Drosophila melanogaster: one gene and its partner. The protein of the gene in region 1 interacts with the protein of each later gene in a pairwise test. Each region holds a gene or a part of one and is shown on either strand. Other genes may lie near its edges. The genes, in order: comr and CG16863.

What was found.
Region 2: the proteins of comr (region 1) and CG16863 interact in a two-hybrid assay, tested with the Drosophila melanogaster proteins (one large-scale study listed by BioGRID).

Annotation. Positions count from the first base shown.
Region 1 is NT_033778.4:21,864,068-21,868,706, reverse strand, and holds comr (cookie monster), read left to right. Parts: upstream 1-1,847; 5' UTR 1,848-1,913; coding exon 1,914-3,716; 3' UTR 3,717-3,837; downstream 3,838-4,639.
Region 2 is NT_033779.5:13,788,995-13,794,057, forward strand, and holds CG16863 (uncharacterized protein), read left to right. Parts: upstream 1-1,964; 5' UTR 1,965-2,033; coding exon 2,034-2,170; exon of another isoform or gene 2,171-2,223; coding exon 2,224-2,601; intron 2,602-2,670; coding exon 2,671-4,141; 3' UTR 4,142-4,270; downstream 4,271-5,063. Other genes in the region: Eato (engulfment ABC transporter in the ovary), read left to right, coding at 1-796, 863-1,307; Sec71 (secretory 71), read left to right, coding at 4,854-5,063.

The DNA of each region.
Region 1 (4,639 bases):
AAGTTCAATGAGACCCCAAGGTTTGCCTTCTGGCAAGTGAAATGATTGATGGATTGGAGCTCCATTGTCTTCACATGAGTCACTAAACCACGAGAATCTTATAGAGCGTATCACTTGCTGCAGTGACTCACTCTAGAATAAGGAAATATAATCGAAACTGGAATCGGGATCGTAAAAATGCAATTCAGATAGCGAAAGGGCGGAAAACAGCTGGAAAAATTCGGGGCTAGAAGGTCGTGCTCAGTCGTCTTCATCTTTAATTGCTTGGAAAACAATAGTCTAAAAGGAAAACCGATGGAGTAGCGCCCCATAAACCATAAAAATGCATAATCTACGACCACTTGACACGCATTAAACAAAAACAAAACAACACTACGGCGGCGGCATTCCTACTTTTATGTTTTATAACGTTTTCAACATTTTATAAAATATTTTTTAGACGAACGAGATGGGAGATCTCCATATATAGTTGAACAATAGTTGTCCCCAGATAAGGAGTAAATAAAGACCTCTAGCTCTCTACCCGTAAAATTAAACTGAAACCGAAACTTATGTAGTGCTTTTTATGAATTCATATAGGGCTTCCGTCACACGACTAAATCAGATCGTAAAAAATGTACAACAAAAGAAACTTTTTCGTTCCGCCAAAAGAAAGAGCAACAAAAAATAGGAAGCAATGAAAAAATTGAAAGGGGTTTCATTGTCAAAATCACGTGCGTGCTGGTATACTATTTTTTTCCAACTGGACTTGTAAATTTATTCGTCATATACAGCCGTTGTTCTTGTTATGCAGCTTTTCATGGGCTGCCCTATGATTTTCGCTCGGAAATTACAACTTTGTCATCAAATTCGGACTGTAAACATTACAACTAGTGTAATAAAAGAACAATAAAATTGGCGGAAATATTCGCCAAAGAAATTGAGCAATGAAATGCATAATTATATTCACTAGACGAACTATTCACATCAGTAATTTACCAATAACTAAAGAAGCTATAAAGAGCAGGGTATTATAATATTCAATAGATTCAAGCAGCTGACGACATTTTTTTAATTTACTCCTGGTGACACGTGAGATTATTGCATAAAATTCTTGTCAGTCCGATTTTTTTCGCCTGTGCCAAAAACTCAGCAGTTTGTTCATCCAAATATCGTGCATCAGTCAGAATAATTGGGGGGGTGTTCGCCATGGATGATTCGTGATTAAAGGATGTGTATTAAATATTCATATGAATGTCAATTTAAAGCTATCTCTTTCGGCACAGTGTCACCCTCTCTTTCTCATTGACTGGTTATAGACCAGTTGAGTGCCAGTGTTGGCGGCTTTTTGTTGTCTCGGCTTTGGTCTGCATTATTGTTGATATAGCCCATGAATCCCCAATTGAAAGGCTTCCCTTACTTTCCTTTTTGAACTTTGCCGCCCTTGGAAACAAATGGGAGGGTTAAAACTGGGGGTTTTGGGGTTATAAATAACAATAGATTTATTGCAAACAAAACATGAAGTGCATTCAAATAAAATGAAAGGAGCTTTGTTTGGTTTTCGCCTGTCTACTCTTTCACTAAAGCTAAATTGTGTAACTTTAATTTATCAATAAGAATTTTTGGCAGCAGAATAATAATAGTGGAATGCAAGGCTTATTTAACATGTAAAAAAAAGAAGTTTTGAACATTAAGTGTGACTGCTTAAAGTACACCGATGAGAGTGTGTTTTCTTAAAAATCATCGATAGAAACTGTAAAGGATAACAGAAAAACTTAGCAACACTTTTTCCGAATGGAAAACAACAGCAGGGCAACCCTTAAAGTGGGCCAACATTTCGTTTGTCAGTCCTCATATTTTTCCGGCTTGCTCGTTTGCCCGAATATTTGTTTGAGAACTAAAAAGTCATCGAAGTTTGTAAATACAAAAGGATAATGTCGGGGAACCAAGACACTTTGGGCCAGTCACAGCAGGTCAATGAAAGTGGTGATGAATATGAAGAAGACGCAGCAACAAGTTGGACAAATGAGTTGGAACAGCAGGAGTCCAGGACGCCAGCGGATAGCCCCGAGTTTCTGGATTTTGTGGACTCCGAGGATCCGCTGGAAGATTTCGAAAGAAATCCTTTGCAGAAGGAGCCCCTCGATCTGGCAGTTAAACCTGTTTCCGACATCAATAAGAAGGCAGCGGAGAATCACAGGCGGATTTACCGACAATTGGGTATCCATATCCCGGAAACGCCAAAAAGCCATCCTCTACTCCATTATGCATTCGTCGTGAAACTGTTCCTGGCCACCGATAATAGCTCCATTCACTACCTCAAGTGGTCGGCAAATGGCCGCGAACTGGAGGTCGATTACCAGGGTATGCAGGAGCATTTGTCCAGCGGGTGTTCCATGTTTCATTGTCGAAATACATTGCAATTTACGGGCACTCTATTGGCCCACGGATTCGAACGCGTTTCATTGAAGGATGTGCGTAAATCCTCAGCCACCAACATCACGCTGATCTATCGGAATCCAAATTTCGTTAAGGGTCAGTTACTCAAATTGCATAAACTGGCTCAGGAATGTGAGAAAATACCTGAAATTTCAAGCCCGGGAACGGCGGAGCCGCGACGACCACCTCTGCACCTCCCGAACTATGCCCATATTTCCAGGATGGTACGGCGAGGAGATCTCTGCTCCACTCCCTACACATCCCGTTCTGCTCTGCAAGTGGCTCGATGTCATTTCCAAACTCTGCTAGGATATCAAGCCGATCTGGGTGTCCTTAAGGATCGCAACAATCACGATATGTTCAACAAGAACATTATGACGCAACTGAATGTGAAGAGGGGGCGTTCGTCTATCAATAACGCCCCCGTAGACTTAGCGCCCAGTAAAGTTTCCTTTGAGAAATTCGTAAAGCCGCACGAATCTGTGATTAATATCGGAATTGGCCAAGCTCCCGATTATGCCGGTTATTATGGCCAGGTCGAGCTATTCAAAGTCAACGAGTTCTTCTCCGAATATCTGCCGCGCTATGGTAGCAAAATCACCGGCTACAAGGAAATAGTTATGGATGCCACCAATAAGTCCATTGGTTTCCAGCAGAATCTGCCAATCGGCATGAATTACTCGGATGATGAAGACGATGCCCTGCCACCGATTTCATCGGACCTCGACTTGGACTTCATGCCATCCACCTCAGCGGCGGCGAAGATGAAATCTACAGGTCGCAAGGTAGTGGAGGACTCGGACTTGGAGCAGGCTATGCAGGAATTGTGCGGCGGTTCTAATCTTAACGAAGAGGAGGAACTTCCACAGACCAGCACCAGGTTTAAAGCAAAGCCCAAACCAAGAGCCAAAACCAAAGCCAAACCCACGAAACGCCAAGCTAAACCCGTACATTCCAGTTCCAGCGAATGCGAAGATTTCAAGCCAGACGAAGTGTATGAAGGTTTTAAGTCTAGAAACCCAAAGAACGTTAAGTTAAAGCCTAGTGACGAAAATATCTCCTATACTCTTGAAGAAGGAACTGATTTCGAGGAGCAAGTCATAGAAGAAACGACCGAAACCAAGGTGCAGGATTCGCAATACGATGACCTGGATGATGACGACGACGACGAGGAAGAGGATTACTTCGACGAGGATGACGAGGATTATGTTTACAAAAATTTGCAGTACAGGAACCCTCCTGAACCGCCAAAAAGCCGACGCTATGATCTACGCAACTCCAAGCGAAATCCTCGTTGAGTCTGCCACTCATTGGAATTGTATGGTATATCTAAGGCAACTAGGAGTTATTATTTGTTAAATCAAATACTTGACTGTGTGGATTTGTGCACCAAACAATTAAACGTTATTTAGTAACTTTAAAGAGGATTTTATTTAAAACTTACGGTACGCATCTTCGGACCATTCACCTCTGCCATATCTTTTGTTTATTCAACTTTAGGCCCATTCCTTTAACCATCTTCCATTGGGCATATCTAAACCTTTCATTATAGCTTTTGTTGGTCTTCTTCGAAGGCAATAAGTTTGGACATATGGGCAATTAAATCGCTTATCGCTCTTTGATCTCTCACGCCCTCAGTGCCCCATTACCGAGGCCAATCAAAAGTGTAATATCATCTGGAAATATCTTACCAATTCGAACCGAGGGCCAGCACCCACACGAACTCACAAAAACCGAAAACGTATAACCAGAAAATAAAGGAAAAAACCAGACAGGGGCACAATCAGTCGGATGTTTACAAGTTTTATGAGCCACCAAATAACAAGATGAACAACAGGCAACCGAAAACGAAACCAAAACCAAAACCAGAACCAAAGCGAAACTTAAACGATACTTGATTTCGAAGGGATTTCGGATTTGTGGTGTACCTCGCACCGCATTTGCAAGAGGCGCAAAAAATAAGCGCTTTTTTTTTATATATATAACTCAGCGTGAGCCGAGACACGATTTTTATCGTCTTTAATTTGCTTTTTATTTGATATCATATTTCAAGACAGCCGGACGGATCAAATCGGTTTGGTCCCACTCGCAGAACTCTGGAGCGTTGAAAACAAAAGCCGGTATCCTCTTATTTGCCGGCTCCGCTCCTCCGAAAAATCCCAAAACAGATTTTTCGGTTGGCAAAAGAGGAGAAACCTTGAGTCAAGACGTCATAATGTCA
Region 2 (5,063 bases), on another chromosome or scaffold:
TTATGGTCATGGCATTCTTTACCATAGTCCTGGAACACAAGTATCTGCGCAGACGAATTCATGATGGCATCTGGGAATGGGCATTCCAAAGAAAGAAATACAATTCGACAGGCACCCTTCCCAGTACTCCGATCTCAGAAATTGATGATTGTGCAAGGGAGGAAAAACGGGTTACCGATCTGATAAAAGACCCATTGAACGACCATTCACTGATTGTGCACAATCTTCGCAAGCGATACGGCGATAAGCTGGCTGTGGACGGAGTCAGCTTTGCGGCTGCCCAGGGTGAATGCTTTGGTCTGTTGGGTGTTAACGGAGCGGGTAAGACAAGTACCTTTCAGATGATAGCGGCCAATTTGCCTCTAGATGGTGGCACTATCCGCATCAAAGGCGCAGACATTCGCGAGCATGAGTTGAAATACCGGGAATACTTTGGCTACTGCCCTCAGTACGATGCACTAAATAAATTCATGACCGCCGAGCAGTGCCTATACTACATGGCATTGCTGCGCGGCCTGAGCCGCCGAAGGACCGATGGACCAGCCAGCTGCAAGGAGCACGTGAAGTACTGGCTAGAGAAGATGCATTTGACCAAATATCAAAAGGTGCAAGTGCGCCACTATTCGGGCGGCACGAAACGCAAGCTTCTGGCGGCAATGGCCATGATTGGTGCACCCGCACTGGTGCTCCTGGACGAACCTACCACCGGTGTGGATCCCATCTCGAGACGATTTCTTTGGCAATGCATCAAGGATTTCCAGGGAAAGGATCGAACAGTGGTGCTCACATCACATAGGTAAGCCCAAAAAAGTATATTTCCTTTTCAAACAGATTCAAAAGTGTACACATTCTCTACAAACAGCATGGACGAGTGCGAAGAGCTGTGCAATCGCTTGGCCATCATGGCGCACGGAAAGTTCAAGTGTCTGAACAATATTTGCGCCCTTAAGCGATTAAGCGGCTTCACGATAAAACTGAAAATGAAGGCGGACACCGAAACGGAGATGAATGTGTCCACGATCACTGGCACGTTGAAGTCAGAGTTTCCTGGTCTGGAACTGCGCGAGAGCCATGCCGGCACACTCACCTACTTTGTTAGCACGCAGGAGAGTGTGGTCCTTTGGTCAAGTGTTTTCAAGATAGCTGAGGAATATCTGGGCGATCGCTTAAGCGCTCTCGTGGCCGACTATTCGGTGAACGAGTGCACACTCGAGGATATTTTCCTCAAGTTCGAGAGAGAGGCGAAATCACAATCGACGTCACGTCAAACCTCCGTGCAACGCAGGCCGGAATGCAGCTACGTTTAGGCCAGATAGTCGGAGTGTCGGAGTATCAAGTAAGATAAGCAGAAGACGGGCGTCGTACATTTCATTATTTCCCTCAAATATGGAACTTTTATGAATCTCTATCCGGTGGGAATAATCTACTTAATGTATTTAGGGACTAATAAAACCAAACAAACACCTTCGACATGGGTATATAAAACTAAAATATAAAAGTAAGATATAACTAGTACGACAAATAAATAATATTTTTTATTTATATTATAATAAATATTTCTACATAATATTTGATGTGCATTGATTATGGGATTAAGGTAAATTATCATAATTCAAAAGAAGTTAAAAACAGTTTTATACCCTTCTATTGGTAGAGGAACAGGTATCTGATTGACGGGGAACTCGACTATAGCATTCTCCCGTTTTTTTTTTTTTTTAATTTAAAATCTCCCGCCTTAGTATTTTTAAAATACCACTCATAATAATACCAAAAGGAACTTTAAACGATCTATATTTGGAATTTAACGATTCATTCAAGAATTAAAAGTAATACATAATGTAATTTTTTTATCCAGCTTGACTATTGAATATTTAATTATGAGAAAAATAAATATAAAACTATTATTACTTGGACGACTTAGGCGCTAATGGAAATGTCAAATTCTCAAAAAATCTCCCACTTGGCCACACTAATGTAGCGTTATTTACAAAATATTCATTTTTTTCGTCGTTAATTTATCGTTTATGCCGAATATGTCGCGTAGCAGAATATGGAAGTTCTACGACAAGTTGGATCGGAATTCCGCGCAGTGCCAGCTCTGCGAGAAAGTAATCAAGACAAGCGGCAACACGTCCAATCTGATGAAGCACATGAAGACCCATCCGCAGATGTAGGAAAGGCTCCTGAGTTCAAAAACCTTTCACAATGAAAATTTTCTTGAAGAAACCTCTTCGACGACGATGTGGTGGTGGAGCGGGGCATATACAAGCGGCGGGAGCAGGATGACAAGCTGCGATTCCGGAAGGTTGTTCCCTTCAAGGAAGAGAGCTCTGATTTCCACAGCGAGCTGTTGTTCAAGGCTGCCAAGGATGCGAGCGGCATTATCGAGCTGGATGATCAAGGAATGATCAAGGCGGCTGCTGAGGATCGCATCTCAACAAAGAGCGTCGGGTATGCGTGGGTCTCTCCGGAGGCCACAGTGTCCCGAACGGAGACGGTTGGCGGCGACGATATCATCGAATTCGAACCCAAGGAGGAGCTCGATGAGTCGGAGAAAAGCCCACTTCCCCAAATTCATGCTGTACCATTTGCCGGCCATGAGTAAGTTTTAATCAAAAGATAGAAGGTAGAAGATAGATACAATTGTAGTAAACTTCATTTATTACCCAGCAACTTAAAAATGGAAGAACCTCTGCCGAGCGAGAGTCCGTTTCACAAGGACATTGCCTTCTTTGTCTGCCGTGACCGCCAGTCATTGCAGATTGTGCAGGGCGAGGGATTCCAGCACCTAGTGAAAGTACTGTGCCCCACCTACAGACCACCGAGTGCGGCGAAACTGGAGGCCATTATCTGCAGGGAGTCGGAAGCGCAGAGGTCCAAGCTCTGCCAGCAGTTGGCCGACATCTCGACACTCAGCCTAAGTTGCTCGGTGCACACGAATGCGGAGAGTCGAAGCTGGATGGAGCTGGTGGCCCACTTTCACGAGGGGCGGCAACGAATCTCCCGAACTCTTTCTGTGCTGCGCCTTCCCGATCTTTTCACCTCCAACGATCTGGTGGATCGCATGGACCAAGTGTGTCAGCGCTTCGACATTCCAAAGTCAAGGATCTGCTGCGTGTCGACAAGGAGCAGTCAACTACTGGAGGATGCGGTGACATCGTTCATGGGCGCTCATCATCATGTTCCCTGCTTCGCAGACCAATTGAATTCTATTTTAGAGGAGGTGGTGCAGCGCCCAGAAATACGTCATTTGCGCGACAAGGTGCGTTCCCATGTGCAGTCCACATTGCAGCTGAATCCCCAACTGGATTCCATACACCGACCGATTAGTGTGTACAATATGCTAGACTTATACCTGAAACAGACTCTCGTTCAAGAGCCGCTGCCGCTTTCGACATCGGAGGTGGATTTGTGTCAGCAATTGCTGGACGTGCTGAGGCCGTTGACCAGCTCCATGCGTGAGCTAAGTCGAACACCATATCCGGCGGCCAGCACAGCCCTGCCCATTGCCCAAACTCTGATCAACGAACTGAAGCAGGAGAAGAGTGCGGAACACATGGTTGCCAGGGAAATACGCTTGTTCCTGGTTCAGCAGCTGGAGGAGATCTTCGAACGAATGGAGCGCAACTTGCACCTGGCATTGGCAAGTCTGCTGGACCCACGCTTTCGAAATATTCCCTTCCGGAGTGGGGCCCTGGTGGCCCAGTACATGACTCAACTCTATGACATGATGCAGGCGCATGTGGACAGCGGGGAGCAAGCTGTTGCAAAGCATCCGGAGAACCGTGATCACTACGATATCTGGGCGGCATTCAAATCCTTTTCGCATGGGAAGCAAAGGATTGTAAACGGCAGCAACGGTCCCGAGGCGGACGATGAGATAGCCAGATACTTTTGCGCCGGCATGAGTACCCTGCGAGCCGATCCCTTTCAGCTCTGGGAGGAACTGGCCGAAGCTCACCCCTTCCTGCACAACGTAGCACAGAGGTACCTGCACGTTCCGGCCACCGCAGAGCCGGCGGATCGGCTATTTACGGCCGAAGGAGCGGCGGTTGCGGCGCAGTACGCCAGACTAATCGAAAACAACATGGAAAACATACTCTTCATGGCGGAAATTCCAACGAAGGAGTGGCAGTTATAGCGTAGTCCATAATCAATCCAAACCTAAGTTGAGCACTGTGTTTTTGTACCCCTTTTATTAACTAATTTATTAATTTACATTTACAATAATGCGAACTATAAAATACATTTTTTAACTTTTTAGCTTCTCAAGCGTTAAGGAACTATTTTTGTATTAGAAAATTAGAGGTAGGGAACGAATAACGAACACATATTCATTAAAGATTTGTAAGTACTATTTACTACACATATTTACACAAATAATTTATTTTAAATATAACTTTATTGTTTACTTTTTTCTTTTGTTATCACAAATCGCCGTTACAAATTCAAATAACAATAACACCAGCAAATTAGCAAAAATACCAAAACCGAGAGAATACCAAAAACTTCCCAACACTGCCGACAGCTCAGTAATTTTCGCTTACACGGTCACACTTCTGATGACGTTTTTTCGTATTTTGAAGGGAATGTAAATGTGGAAAAACTGAGAGATTTGCAACATGCAAACATCCACGACACGCTAAAAACTCACCGAGTGCCGCCACACGACAATCCAACCGAGAGGAGCACTCCGCACAGCTGGCGGAGCACCCAGAAGGCAGCAGGCGAAAGTTGCGTGGCTGTTGTTTCCGGAAGCGGTGGGCAGAGGGAAATCCGAAGCAGTGGTAGTAGGGAAAGAGGCATCGAAACCCACCCAGCGAAGGCGACCTTGGGAGTGGCAGCGGCCCAATATGCACAACAACTCCACAAAAACCAAGGAAATGTTCATCGTGCGTGCTCTAGAAAAGATCCTTGCCGATAAGGACATACGGCGCTCCCATCACTCGCAGCTGAAGAAGTCCTGCGATTCGGCGCTGGAGCAGATTAAGGCGGAGCTAATCAGTGCCGGCCAGATCGCAGAGGGCAATGAGCTGCCCTGTGCCGCACTCCCGCTGCCCAAG